Canis lupus familiaris: one gene and its partners. The protein of the gene in region 3 interacts with the protein of the main gene of each other region in a pairwise test. Links are inferred from orthologs where the notes say so. Each region holds a gene or a part of one and is shown on either strand. Other genes may lie near its edges.

Evidence for each region.
Region 1: the proteins of SF1 (region 3) and DDX17 interact in binary tests that used the Homo sapiens proteins (3 or more experiments, as listed by UniProt). The link is inferred for Canis lupus familiaris from reciprocal best matches to the Homo sapiens genes SF1 and DDX17.
Region 2: the proteins of SF1 (region 3) and SF3A1 interact in binary tests that used the Homo sapiens proteins (3 or more experiments, as listed by UniProt). The link is inferred for Canis lupus familiaris from reciprocal best matches to the Homo sapiens genes SF1 and SF3A1.

What each region holds. Positions count from the first base shown.
Region 1 is NC_049231.1:27,281,456-27,285,610, reverse strand, and holds the start of DDX17 (probable ATP-dependent RNA helicase DDX17), read right to left. Parts: upstream 2,897-4,155; coding exon 2,756-2,896; intron 2,418-2,755; coding exon 2,125-2,417; intron 1-2,124. UniProt on the Homo sapiens protein: As an RNA helicase, unwinds RNA and alters RNA structures through ATP binding and hydrolysis.
Region 2 is NC_049247.1:23,903,063-23,906,706, forward strand, and holds part of SF3A1 (splicing factor 3A subunit 1), read right to left. Parts: intron 3,261-3,644; coding exon 3,053-3,260; intron 1,906-3,052; coding exon 1,648-1,905; intron 1-1,647. UniProt on the Homo sapiens protein: Component of the 17S U2 SnRNP complex of the spliceosome, a large ribonucleoprotein complex that removes introns from transcribed pre-mRNAs.
Region 3 is NC_049239.1:52,884,925-52,889,302, reverse strand, and holds the start of SF1 (splicing factor 1), read right to left. Parts: upstream 2,892-4,378; coding exon 2,504-2,891; intron 1,199-2,503; coding exon 1,070-1,198; intron 1-1,069. UniProt on the Homo sapiens protein: Necessary for the ATP-dependent first step of spliceosome assembly. Binds to the intron branch point sequence (BPS) 5'-UACUAAC-3' of the pre-mRNA. May act as transcription repressor.

The DNA of each region.
Region 1 (4,155 bases), on a different chromosome or scaffold from region 3:
CACATCACTTTTGGATTTTACATGTACACATATACACTAACCTCACTTTTATTCTCTTCAAAATAATCTATTTCGGCTCTGTAATTGTTAAGAATATAGTAACTCAAAATCATAAATGCAATTTCATGGTAAATGTAGAATTAGGACACAAACATCATGAAAAAGTGCCATTTTGTGTGAAAAGTTTAAAGCTTTAAAAAAAATGTCATCTGATAGTCAATATGGGGTAGAAATATGGATCAGTAATTTACTTTTTCTTCTTTTCAAATAATTTGTTAAAACATGTATATGGTGAAATTAAGTATTAAACCAAACACCTATGGTATGGTAAAGAAACAGAACATGATCAGTACCTTGGTAGCCCTCTGTGCCTATTTCAAGTTTACAAACCCACTACAACTACCATCTTGATTTTTGCTTTTTGGAGTCCGGTCATATACGTATCCTTTTACCACAACTTGCTTTTTCAATGTTTGCTGGTCATCCATTTTGATGCAAGTTTTTTTTTTTTTTCTTCCACGGTTGTGTTACATTCTACTGTAATGAATACCCACCCTTTATCTAGACAGAAGAGTGGTTCCCAATATTTTCATGAACAGTGCTGGTATGAACATTTTTTGTACATGAATGCTGGGGAACACGTACAATGATTTCTCTAGGCTTGTGTCTAGGGTACAAAGCTTAAGAAAGGAATTATTGGGTCATTTTCTACTAGGTAATGTCAAAAATTCTTTGTCTCAAGTGGTTGCACTGAAATTCACTTCTAAATTGAGCTATACTGTGAAACTCTAAGCAAACATTCCACTTCTAGCCCTCCAAATTTAACACTAAGATCAAATATTTTCTTTTCTAACAAGGTATAAACAAAATAATCCTTTTTATTCGGCAATTCAAGTGAATTGAGGTGCTTATGACTAGAGGTCTGGGACTTCTGTATTTGAACCGCAAAAGACAAAAATGTTTGGAGAAAATATCAACAGAACACCTATCACAAAGACACAATTTTACATAGATCTCAATTCCCGAAAACAATGCAAAGTAAAGGCAATTATTATGCCCATCTTCAGTTGAGAAAATAGGCTCACAAAAAGGTCCAGGATCTTGCCCAAGGTCACATATGTATATATATTAATAACTGGCGTTCCATTATTATTTATCCAGAGATAAGACCTTTATTACAAAAAGTTAACAGCACGAACATTCGCATCTCTTAGGCAACTTTTCCCTTTAACTTATGTTAAGATCTGAATCTCAGTATCTGGGAAGAACTTTAATCTTGTTAACTTTCAGCCGTGGCATTATCGCATCGAAACTTTCTAACCAGGCCGAGCAACTAATACTCCAGTCCAACTGGAGAAGAACAGAACACAGGGTGGGAGGGAACCCTACAGTAACCAAAAAAAAAACAAACAAAAAAACCCACAAAAAACCCTCCCTCCCCTCCTCAAATAAGATCATTTAGATGGCAAACAATTCCACTGCTTTACTGTCCAAAGTGCTTCCTTCGAATTATCTGAAATACCACTAAAGGGGATTTTAAGATACATTTAAAACTAGAAATCAGCCATTTGGCGTCTAGTTTCCAACTCGATTTCCAGTTCCTTTAGCAGTTATCTCTGGCGACAGATAAGATAAGGGAAGCCATTTGGCGTCAAGATTTTCCCAGGCCGAACTCGGAGACCTCCTCCTCTTCTCAGCAAGAACATCCGTGTTTTACAGATGAGCGCTGAGGCCTGGAGAGATCAAATGACTTGCCCAAATCGGCCGGGCCCGGCAGCCGGGCGGCGAGGCGAGGCCAGGCTGGGTCTGCGGCGCTCGGGCCGCCGCTCCGGCTCCCCGCCACGACTGCGGTCCGAAAGGAGGGGCTGGGGCGTCGCCAGGCCGCCCCCCCACGCCGGGTCTCCCGTGATCCCGGGGCGCAGGCCCACCCGCAGGCCCGCACACCAAACCGCTATTATGTCCCAGGTCGCCTCGCCTCCCGGAGTCGGGGGCGTCGCTCCCAGGCCTGCAGTCCGCTCCAGGTCTCCCGCTCGGCGGCAGGCTGCGGTCTCCTCAGGAAACAACCTTCCCCCTCCCCCCGGCCCACGCACACGCGAGGCCTTCCCTCTCCCCCTCCCCCCTTACCCTCCACGGTCACGATCCCGGTCCCGGTCCCCAAAGCCGCCTCCGCGCATGGTCCCAAACGGATAGAGATCTGGGAGCGGGGCACGGATGGCCGGGCTCGGGAGGGCCTGCGGCTCCGGTCTGGTGACGACCGATGGCGGCGGCGCCTCCGCTGTTGGGGCGGCGGCAGGCGCGGCGCTCTCTCGCTCCGACGCGCTGTCTCCCGTCGCAGACGCCACCGTCGCCGCCTCTCTCGTCGGAGACGGGAGCAAAACACAGAGAATCGGGGTTATAAAAACTGTGGGTAGGTTTGGCTACGCTCAAACCCGGCAGTGCCGCGGTTTAGGCGTCTCCTTCCTTCCCAGCGACTGCACAAAATGGCGGCCGGCGCTGAGACTGCTCCAGCTTAACGCTACGTACGTCGGAGACGATACGTAAACAGCGTCTTGGAATAGCCCGAGGGCTTGGCGGAGTACTAAGGGCATTCTTGGAAGCCATTTACGTCAGTTGCGCAGACCGGCACATGTTGCAGTCCGTAGAAGAAAAATAAAGTACGAAGCGGGCGTAGAGTGCTCGCGCCACCTGAACTAGAACGTGGGGTGGGGTGAGGGGAAGAGCCTCCGGTGCGACGTAACATTCTTTGCGTCGTTACCCGGCCCACTATTGCGAAGATGCGCAGTGTGCGTAACGCATTCTGTTTGGAGAATAGAAGATTTTGCCGGGTTCCGAACGCGGGACGGAACACGGGCCTCCTTGTGCAAGTTGGTTTGCAGACACAATAACCGTCCTCCATATTGCAGTCGTGAAGTGTCAGGGTTTCCCGGCGCCTTGGGTCCAGGCGGGTCTTCAGGGTTCCTGGATGGCGTCCCTGGGTCGCTCCGCCGGCCTGGGCCTGCCGTCACCGGCCGCGCGCCCCGGCGCCATTTTCTTTCGGTTGCCTCTCGCTGCGCTGTTGCCGGCAGCCATGATGGATGCTCCTTGTCGGTTCTCTCGGGAGGTGGTCGGCGGACGAGGTCCCAGTCAGGTTAAAGCACTCCCTGCTACGCTTGGTTCACACCGAAGTGCGTTTTCTGAGCAGAATATTCACGGTCGGGGGCTGAGCGCAGTTGGCTAACAAAGAACCAACACGCAGGTGGAGCCCCTGTTGAGGAAGACTCCCGGGTCCCATGGTCTCCGTTCGTCGGCGCTGCCTCGGGAGGTCCTGGCAGGCCCTCAGCGCCCTCCCCGGGCGAGGACGGTTAAAAGCCGTGGCCTTTCGACACAGAGAAGGTGAAGGCCTGAGCACGTGTTTTTAACCAGGCCGGAGCATGTTCCTCTCAGTTCCTTCCACGCTGGTTTCCAACTTCCTGCCTCCTCACTCAGACTGAGCTTGACGGTCTCACAAACCTGGCCAGACAGCGTCACAGAATTGTTGAGCTGCTAAGGCCCTCGCGAGCTGCTCATCTGATGTCTCTTTTGTTTATTTCTACAGATGGGGGAGGGGGGCGGGGGCGCGGGATTCGAGGTCCTTCATTGTGGGGGCTGTTGTCTCTTGGTTGTAAATGTTTCCCAAATTATGACAAAAGGAGCTCAAGGAAAGGAGCTTGGTGACAAGCCGTTCAGAGGTCCTTGGGGCCGTAGCGCAGATGGACAATTGGAACCACTGGACCTGTGCTGAACACTGCATCAGCCCAGCACTGTGCTAGGCACTGGGGCAGAGGGCACTGGACACGTGAGTTCCTGCCCTCATGGGCTTTATACCACAATGGGGGGGAATAAAACAATGAATCTTTATGTTATTTAAAGATTGCTAACTAAAAAATAAAGATTGCTGATTAAAATAGAAAAAGCGAGGAAAGGGGATAGTGTTTCTGTGTCTGTGGGGGAGGGGAGTGTATGGATGTCACGGTGTTACATGGGGTGACCTGGGGGAAGGCCTCTCTAATTCAGTGACATCTGAGCAGCGACCTAAAGGGAGGGAGTTAGCTTTGCTGGCAGAGGAAGGAACACATGCAAAGGCCGTGGCGGGCTGTAATGAGGAAAGACGGGAGAGATTTGAAGGATTTGTAGGCT
Region 2 (3,644 bases), on a different chromosome or scaffold from region 3:
CCAATGACCAGAGACAGACACCAGTGACCTCAGGTTAAAATGCTAATGTTAATACCCAAATCTTGAAAAAGAAGAACAGGAAAATAACAGAATAAAAAGGAATCTCGAGACCTTCAACCCTGGAAGTAGTACACAAAGGAAAAATAACACAGGGCTTAATTAAAATTGCTCCTGGATAACTAATTACACAAAACCTTTGGCTTTCATGATTGTTGTTTTAGCTATTCCACCACCATTTTTGGATTTGATCATTTTCCAAACACATGCACCTTTATAATCCTTTCTAGTTACATAAAGTGAACTAAGAGTAAACCATTACAAATCTTTTCAAGTCAGATCTTTAACGTGCTACTCTAAAAAACAAAAACAGATGTATAAACCACACCAGTAAAGAGGGAAGACAACCTCAGCTACATGTGGAGCAAGAAAAACAAGCCACTGGCAAGTTTGTATCAGTGTACTTTGCAAGAAGTTAATTTGATTGTTTTTAAATATTAATATTGACTTGTCCCAATCTTGATTCTAACAATGTAGCATGATAATTAAGATCTTCTTAATACAGACCCTAACACCCAGATCTCAGGTTCTGGAGTAAAAATGCCAGAGTTCAAGTCCCAGTTTAGCAAGCCCTAGATGTGTGATCCTGTCCAAGTTAACTGTGTGCCTACTTCCTGTGTAAAATAAGTATGAGTGGCTACCTTGTAAATTACTAGAGATTAAGTGACAGAATGCTACATATACAAGTATCCCAACAATACTAGCTTATCCTTACTTATGTTAAATGTTTTCCAGTGCTTTTTTTTTTTAATTCAGTTTGCCAACATATAGAACACCCAATGCTCAACACATCATATGCTCTCCTTAATCCCCATCACCTAGTTACCCCAACTCCTAACCCCAGTGCTTATTTACATTATAGTTCTAATGTAAGGTACCCCTCGGGGTGAAAAACAATATAAATATTTGAGTGCAGCTACTTACTAGCTGACGACCATGAGTAAATGACTTCAACTCTCTGAGCCTATTTCTGCTTTTAAAAAAGGGTAGAGGAGGATGCCTGTGTGGCTCAGTGGTTGAGCATCTGCCTTCAGCTCAGGGCGTGATCCTGGAGTCCCAGGATTGAGTCCCACATCAGGATCCCTGCAGGGAGCCTGCTTTTCCCTCTGCCTATGTCTCTCTGCCTCTCTCTCTCTCTCCCTAATACATAAAATCTTAAAAAAAAAATTGCCTTATAAAGAAAAAAAGGGGAAGGAGGGAATATCTCCTAGGTTCTTATGAAGAGCAAACTGGGCAAAAGGAGGTAATTATTAAGGGCTTGCTTCTTCTCACATCTGTGCTAGGCAACTGAATATTTCAATATACTTTAAAAGCAGCTAGCATCACTTGGCCTTGTCACACAGCAGGCACCAGCCTAATGGCAGTTATCAATCACACATTTTACTTCTATTTAAAACCAGCAGTCTATGTTACATTTAAGAGGCAGAACTGAATTAGAAATCAAGATCTTACACCGAAGTATAATTTTTAACACCTGCCTGAGGGTCCACAGAGGAGTCATGTCCTTATAGACACGAGTAGATCCAGTGCTTATTCATGGTGCCTTCCTTCCCTAGGCCCAGCACCCCCACCCCTGCCCTGGCGAGGCACCTTGGTGTACTGCTCCACCAGCTTTGTGAAGTAGTTGAAGAGGCTGTGCTGCGGGCGGAGGAAGTCAAACTGGTAGTTGCGTTGCTCTTTCTGCATCAGTTGGGTCAGAAACTGGCGGCCATTCCTGGCCACAAACTGAGCTGTCAGCTTTACCACATCCAGGTCGAAGGCTGAGATGGACGGGGGGTCTGCGATGAACTCAAACTCAGGAGGGGGCTCTTTGGGCACGATGGTCTCTTGGATCACCTGGGCTTGGACCTAAGATGCAGAGAGAATGTGAGGCTTGAGAGGTGATGGGAAGACACCCCAGACAGGATGGCAGAGACCTCTACACTCCTGTTAATCATGTAAACACCTCTGGCCCATGGTGTGAGAATCCTAACTCATAAGAGTGCCAGTTTCTTGGCAAACTGTGGACTCAAATTCCCAAATGGCTTCGAACAAGAACCTGCCCTTCTGTATTTTTGCTGTTGCCCTGAAATCAAGGGCCAAAACTGAGGGGCAGAAGATCTGACGGGAAAATGCCTTATTAAACCCCACCAGAGGAGGACGGAGGACACAGTAAGCCCTACATGTGTGCGGAGGACCCCCTGGACAGAGAACTTCCATGTTTGTTACCTCATCTGGCCTCCACATGAACCATGTGGTGGATAGAACAGGTACTATGAATCCCTTTTATAGATGAGGAAACTGAGGTAGTCTGAGGCCTTAGCAGTAGTAAATGGTAATGCATGGTCATAGAATCTATTCCAACCTTTATTTCCCACTGTAAAACAGGAGGTAGCTTTTTCCACCATGGTCCAGGAATAGAGCAAAGAGAAGGGACCAGACTAGGTCTATAAAGGAGGCAAAATGTGCCAGCTCTTCTTGTTCTCATTGACAACCCTAACTGTCCTAAGTGATGGACCTAAAGAGGATTAGGGTATTACAGCAGGCCACAAGGAAGGGCCCTGGGAAGATAGGATGGATGAGAGGGATGGCTCAAGGAGGGGCCCACAAGCCACATCACAGCACTGTCCTTACTCCATGGTCAAGGCAAAAAGTACAGGCTAAGAACTTGAACTCTGTGGACTATTGACTCTATGGCCCAGGTAAATCCTACTTCCCCAAGTGTCAGGTTCCTCATCTGTAAAATGGTCACTTTGCTGTTCTCCTCAAGCAGCTGCTGTGCGGTGCCAACAAGACTCCTAAAGTACTGAGCATAGAGCCAGATAAGCAATGCTCAGGAAACGTCAAAGGCGGCAATACTATGCTGCCTGAGCCTCAGTGTCTGCCTCTGTGGATAAAAACCTCATGTTTCTCCTGGCTAGCAGTGAGGTTTGGATAACAGAGTTCATTATCCTTCCCTCCCTGGCCTGGCTTCCCTTTCAGCCCCGGGGATATGAAGGAAGGGGATGGCTCTAACCTTCTGGGGCAGCTGCTGCTGGGTGGCCTGCTGTTGCTGCTGCATGACCTTGGGGATGGCGGCTGAGGGCTCCTGAGCCTTCCCCTCCTTGAACTCGCTGACCTTGTGGCGGTAGTAGGCATGGTAAGGGTCGTTGGGGTTCAAGAAGTTAAACTTGGGGTTGTTGATCTCATTCTGTCGTATCCTAGCTTCAAATTCAGGTCCGTTTCTACAAGGAGGAAAAGAGAAAAATTAACACTACAATCCTTACAACTACCCAGAACACTGCCCATTCAAGCCCCCTCCATGCCACTACTCATCACTCAAACTAGCCCATCCCTGAATGAAGCAGAGGTCCTCCATAAAGCTCCTGGCATCAGTGGTCAAAGTCATCTGCCTCCTCCAAGCCCGAGCCAGGCCTCCTTTACCATAAGGTCTCTCAGACTTGTCGCTCCTATAGTTCTTCTGCTAGTCTTGCCATCCAAAACTATTTAAACTTACTGTTTTCTTTTAGTAAACTTATTTTAAAATGTACTTTGAAAGAAAAACATTTATTACTACTGCAAATAAAAATCAGTGTGACTTTACTAACAAAAGCGTAAAATTAAACACA
Region 3 (4,378 bases):
GGGGAAAGAAGAAATATTAGTACTGTAAAAACAAACAATTCCAACACCTCAAAACTCTCAGCAATTAAAAAATGTAAGAGATTATGATCCTCAAGAATAACACATGCCAGCCTTGAAGCTTTTTATCTGTAAAGGCTACAGCCTCCCAGGCCTAGGCGGCCTTTGCCCTAATTTACTCCAAAGGGGATGTTTATTTGGTTAGTAGGAAATGCTTATCAAGTGAACTTTTTGGAGACAGCTGGAGATACATGAATAAAGGTGAAACTCGCATTAAAAACCTTGTATTTAAAAAAAGGTAATTTTGAGGTTAACTTCATTTACATTGTGGACAATTACTATAATTATTGTCTTGAAATTTCCCAACAGTTAAGATCTTTTTTACCCTATCACCTCATGCCATATCCAAGTAGTACCCCTTTCCCAGCAGAATTCTTTGATAATAAATAGTAAAAGAGCCTTCGTTTTAAGGCAGCTCTCCAAAGACCAAACCAGAAAAGATGCTGAAGGAAAGGTTAAATTCAACAAAATCGTAAAAAGGGATGTATACTGCCAACACTTTCAGGACCACTCTTTGATTAAACTGAGTTTTTCAGAAAGTACCTATAAAAAGTAAAAGACCACATTTGAAGGGGAGGGAAGAATATGAAATGGTGAAAGGCCATGCTGTGAAAAAGGTACTTAGTTTATAATACCTGCAGTGTTCTCCACTTGGGGCCGTGTCCAGAGAGGCAGAAGACACTCACCTCACCAACGGGCAATGAACAGCAGCTGAAAAGTGTAGGGTGGGGTACTGGACTGGGGACTACCCTCACTCCTAAATGGGTCCCTCTACCTTCCTGGCACTCATGGAGAACACTGCTGTTACGAACAGACCGAAACCAGGAGCTTCAAATGCAGGACTTACAGAGCAAAAACTGATGGATTATGTCGAAGTCATAAAAGTACACCTGACCATACCTCATCTCAAAAGAACAAGACTTTAAAGTCTCAAATTTAGGACACATAAAACGCTGCTCAGAATAAGTCATAACAATCCGAAAACATATTTGGGTGCAGAACGTGTATTTACCTATATAAGCTCTTTCTTGTTCCCGAGTAAGTCCAGGGGGGATGACTGTAGGCATTCCTGGAATCACTGTCTTCTGTTCCATTGTATCTTGGTTCCAGCGGCTCCTCTTCCGCTTCTTACTTGGGAAGTCTAAAGGCAGAGAAAACCCATCAAATACAAATATAAACCAACAAACTAACTACCAACAGGCAGTTCACGATACTTATAATACTACACACAACCTCGGCAGACTGGGAAACTGAGAACTTGACCTAAAACGTAAATGGCAAAAAATGGAAGACATACCCAAGAAATCAGAGACACACAGCCGCCACAAAGATACCTGGCTCTGGGTCCAAAAACATATTTCATATTTATAACATATGTCAAAAAAACGTGAAGTATGTAAACAAGCTAACAAATCTTAATCCCTACAGTTTCAGATATGCAACATCAACCACAAATGTTTTAAAAACCCCAGGGGAGACAAAATATACCGAATAATCAGATGTGGTAAAGTATGCTGAGAAAACTGTTGGTTCTTCCCACCTCCAAACCCCACCAGCCACCTTTCTAAAGGGACCAGAACACAACCAAACTTACAATTTACTAAGTGAAAAAGCCCAATTCTTCAAAAAGCTCACTTTTTTCTTCAGAAGTTTAGTCAAGATAAGCATTCAGTTTTCCTGGCTAATTTAGACACTTAACATCAGAACTCCTAAATGAGGTATCAAAAGTTCAACAAAATACAAGCTATCCAACAGCAGCCAAATACTCCTCCTCCAAAACAGAAGCGTAAACTTTCTACACATCTGGTACACACAAATCAGTTCTACTTGGAAAGCCCCAACAACTAAGGGGAGACATATCAGACTTCTCTAAGATAAACGAATGGAGATTAGGAAAATATTCCTTCCTCCAAAAGTGCACCGGCTCCAACCACACCACTGAGGATTTTTCGAGCTCTTCCTTTCACTGCAGTAAAAACTTCGCACAGAGAGATAAATTACTCTCGCTTTCCTACCTTTTGGACTTCTCTAGAATCAGAAAGGTGCTCCACGTCATCAATTGACCCTTTCACGCCCTCCCGACACGCACATCCCTCAACCCGTCCACCAATTCAACCCGCTCGACACCCCTCTCCTGTACCAAGCTGTAGAGAGCAACACAGAGCCCCCCCACCCCATTTCCATTTATTATCGGGCCACAAAGCCCGGCAGCCATACTGCGCCTGCGCACAACACCCTCCGCGCTCCACCCCCCCACCCCTTCCAGTGCGCGTGCGCACTCGGGGCCCGAGAACCGGGCCGCGCGCCCCTTGGCGCCTCCGCCCGGGGCCTCCCCGTGCGCGCGCGCGCCCCTGCCGCGTGCAGCCGCCGTCGCCGCCGCCGCGCGCCCCTCAGGCGGCCGGGCCCGTCCGCGCGACGCCTCTCGCGCTCTCTCGGCCCGACTCACCTCCTCCGCCGCCGGCCGGGCCCGGCTGCTGGTCCTGATGGGGTGGCGGCGGCTGCGGCGGCGACACGCGCTGGTAGAGCGGCGGCGGAGGGGGAGGCTGCGGCGGCGGGTACGAGGAGCCCGGGGAGGGCGGCGGCGGCGGCGGCTGCTGGGGAGGCGGGGGCGGCGGCGGTGGCGGCGGCGGCAGCGCCGCGAAGGGGAAGGCCGCGGTCAGGGCTCCCACCGAGCCCACGGGCGGGGGCGGCGGCTGCCCGGGCACCAGCAGCCCCGCCCCAGGCCCGGGAGCAGGCGGTGGCCCCGGCTCGAAGCCCCCTTTGGGCCCGGAAACGGGGGGGAGGCCGGGGGGGCCCAGCTTACCCAGCGGCGTGGCGTTCGCTCCGGTCGCCATGGCGCCCCCGGGGACCGGCACCGGCGGCTCCTTTTAGGCGGTGGTGGCGGCGGCGGCTTCTTCGCGAACCTTCCGGGGGGAGGGGACCCGACTGCGCTGCCGCGGAGCGCGCGGAGCCCGTCCTCTCACGCGGCGGGCGGCGGCGGCGGCGGCGCGAGACGCACAAAGAGGGAGGAGAGAGGGCGCCGCGGGGGCGGTCCGGGGGCGACGGGTCCGAGTCCTGGATTGGGCCGAGCCCAGGCAAGGGGTCGGAATCGGCGGCCTCCGATTGGCGGAGCCTTAGCCCCTCTCGATGCACGCTGGGATTGGCCGGACCGTTAGGCCGGGGGGAAGAAATGGCGGCCGAGCCTGGCGAGCTGGGAGGTGTCGCAGCGCGCACTTCATTTGTTACTGCGCGAACTGAGCTCGGAGTCCAGAAAGGAGGGGAATGGGGCGGGGCAAGCTCTGTGACGTAGGGGGCAGGGTCTTTCTCATTGGTTGAAGTTGATTGGGTCAATGCTCGGTTGCGTCGTAGTGTCATGGGATTGGCTGTCGCTTGTCCGGTTCTTTTTCTACTCCTCCCCCGGGGAGCAGTTTCTCTGGGATTAAGCGAGAGGTCGCGGCGGTACCCGGCAGAACGAGATTTACGGCCGGGGAGGAGTGGAGAGGAGAGCGCATGCGTAGATGGGGCAAGGCTGCCTCTCCGACCTTCGCTTCATGGTCGACTCCTTGGTCCGGCGCGGAAGCCCTTAGTGACGTTAAGTCTCGATTCCCATAGTAACCCGGAACCGAGGGACGGGGGAGGGGCTGGCGCGCGACCGTAAACCGGAACCGTTGACGCGCCGCAGGTAAAAAGGGACTTCCTGTTTTCTTAAAAAAAAACAAAAAACAAAACAAAAAAAACAACTATAAAATAGTCTATTTGAAGGATCAAAGCGATACTGAGCCTATGGAAGAACACATCATCTTAGGCAGAAAACAATAATAATTCGATTTCAAAATTAATTTGCACAACAAAAAAAAAACCAAAACAAAAAAAAAAACAAAATTAATTTGCAAATACATTGTATTTCCATAGAATCAACTAGGTTGGGGGTTGATTACATCATCTTAAAGTCATATAATTATGAGAATAGTGGGGAAACCTGTAAACGAGGTTGAGGAGGAACTCGCTTTTCGGAATAGTGTGCAAGACACTGTAATGAAACAATGTGATTTGTTGAAGGAAAGACAGATGAGCGCGACAGAATAGACCAGAAATAGATTCCCCATGTGTAGATTCAGTAAAGATTCAGCTAACAAATGGTATAGGATCTTAAACAATAAAACAGACCTAAAATAACAATATAGGAGACCAACAGGGTTATCTAGAGGTGGAGACTTAAGGAAAACAAGAAACTCAGACTAGTAAATATATACTTGATCACTAAAGAAATTAGAACTGTAGGATAAAAGCCAACAGATAATAAAACATTAGGAAGATATACTTGCCACACATGATAAAGGGC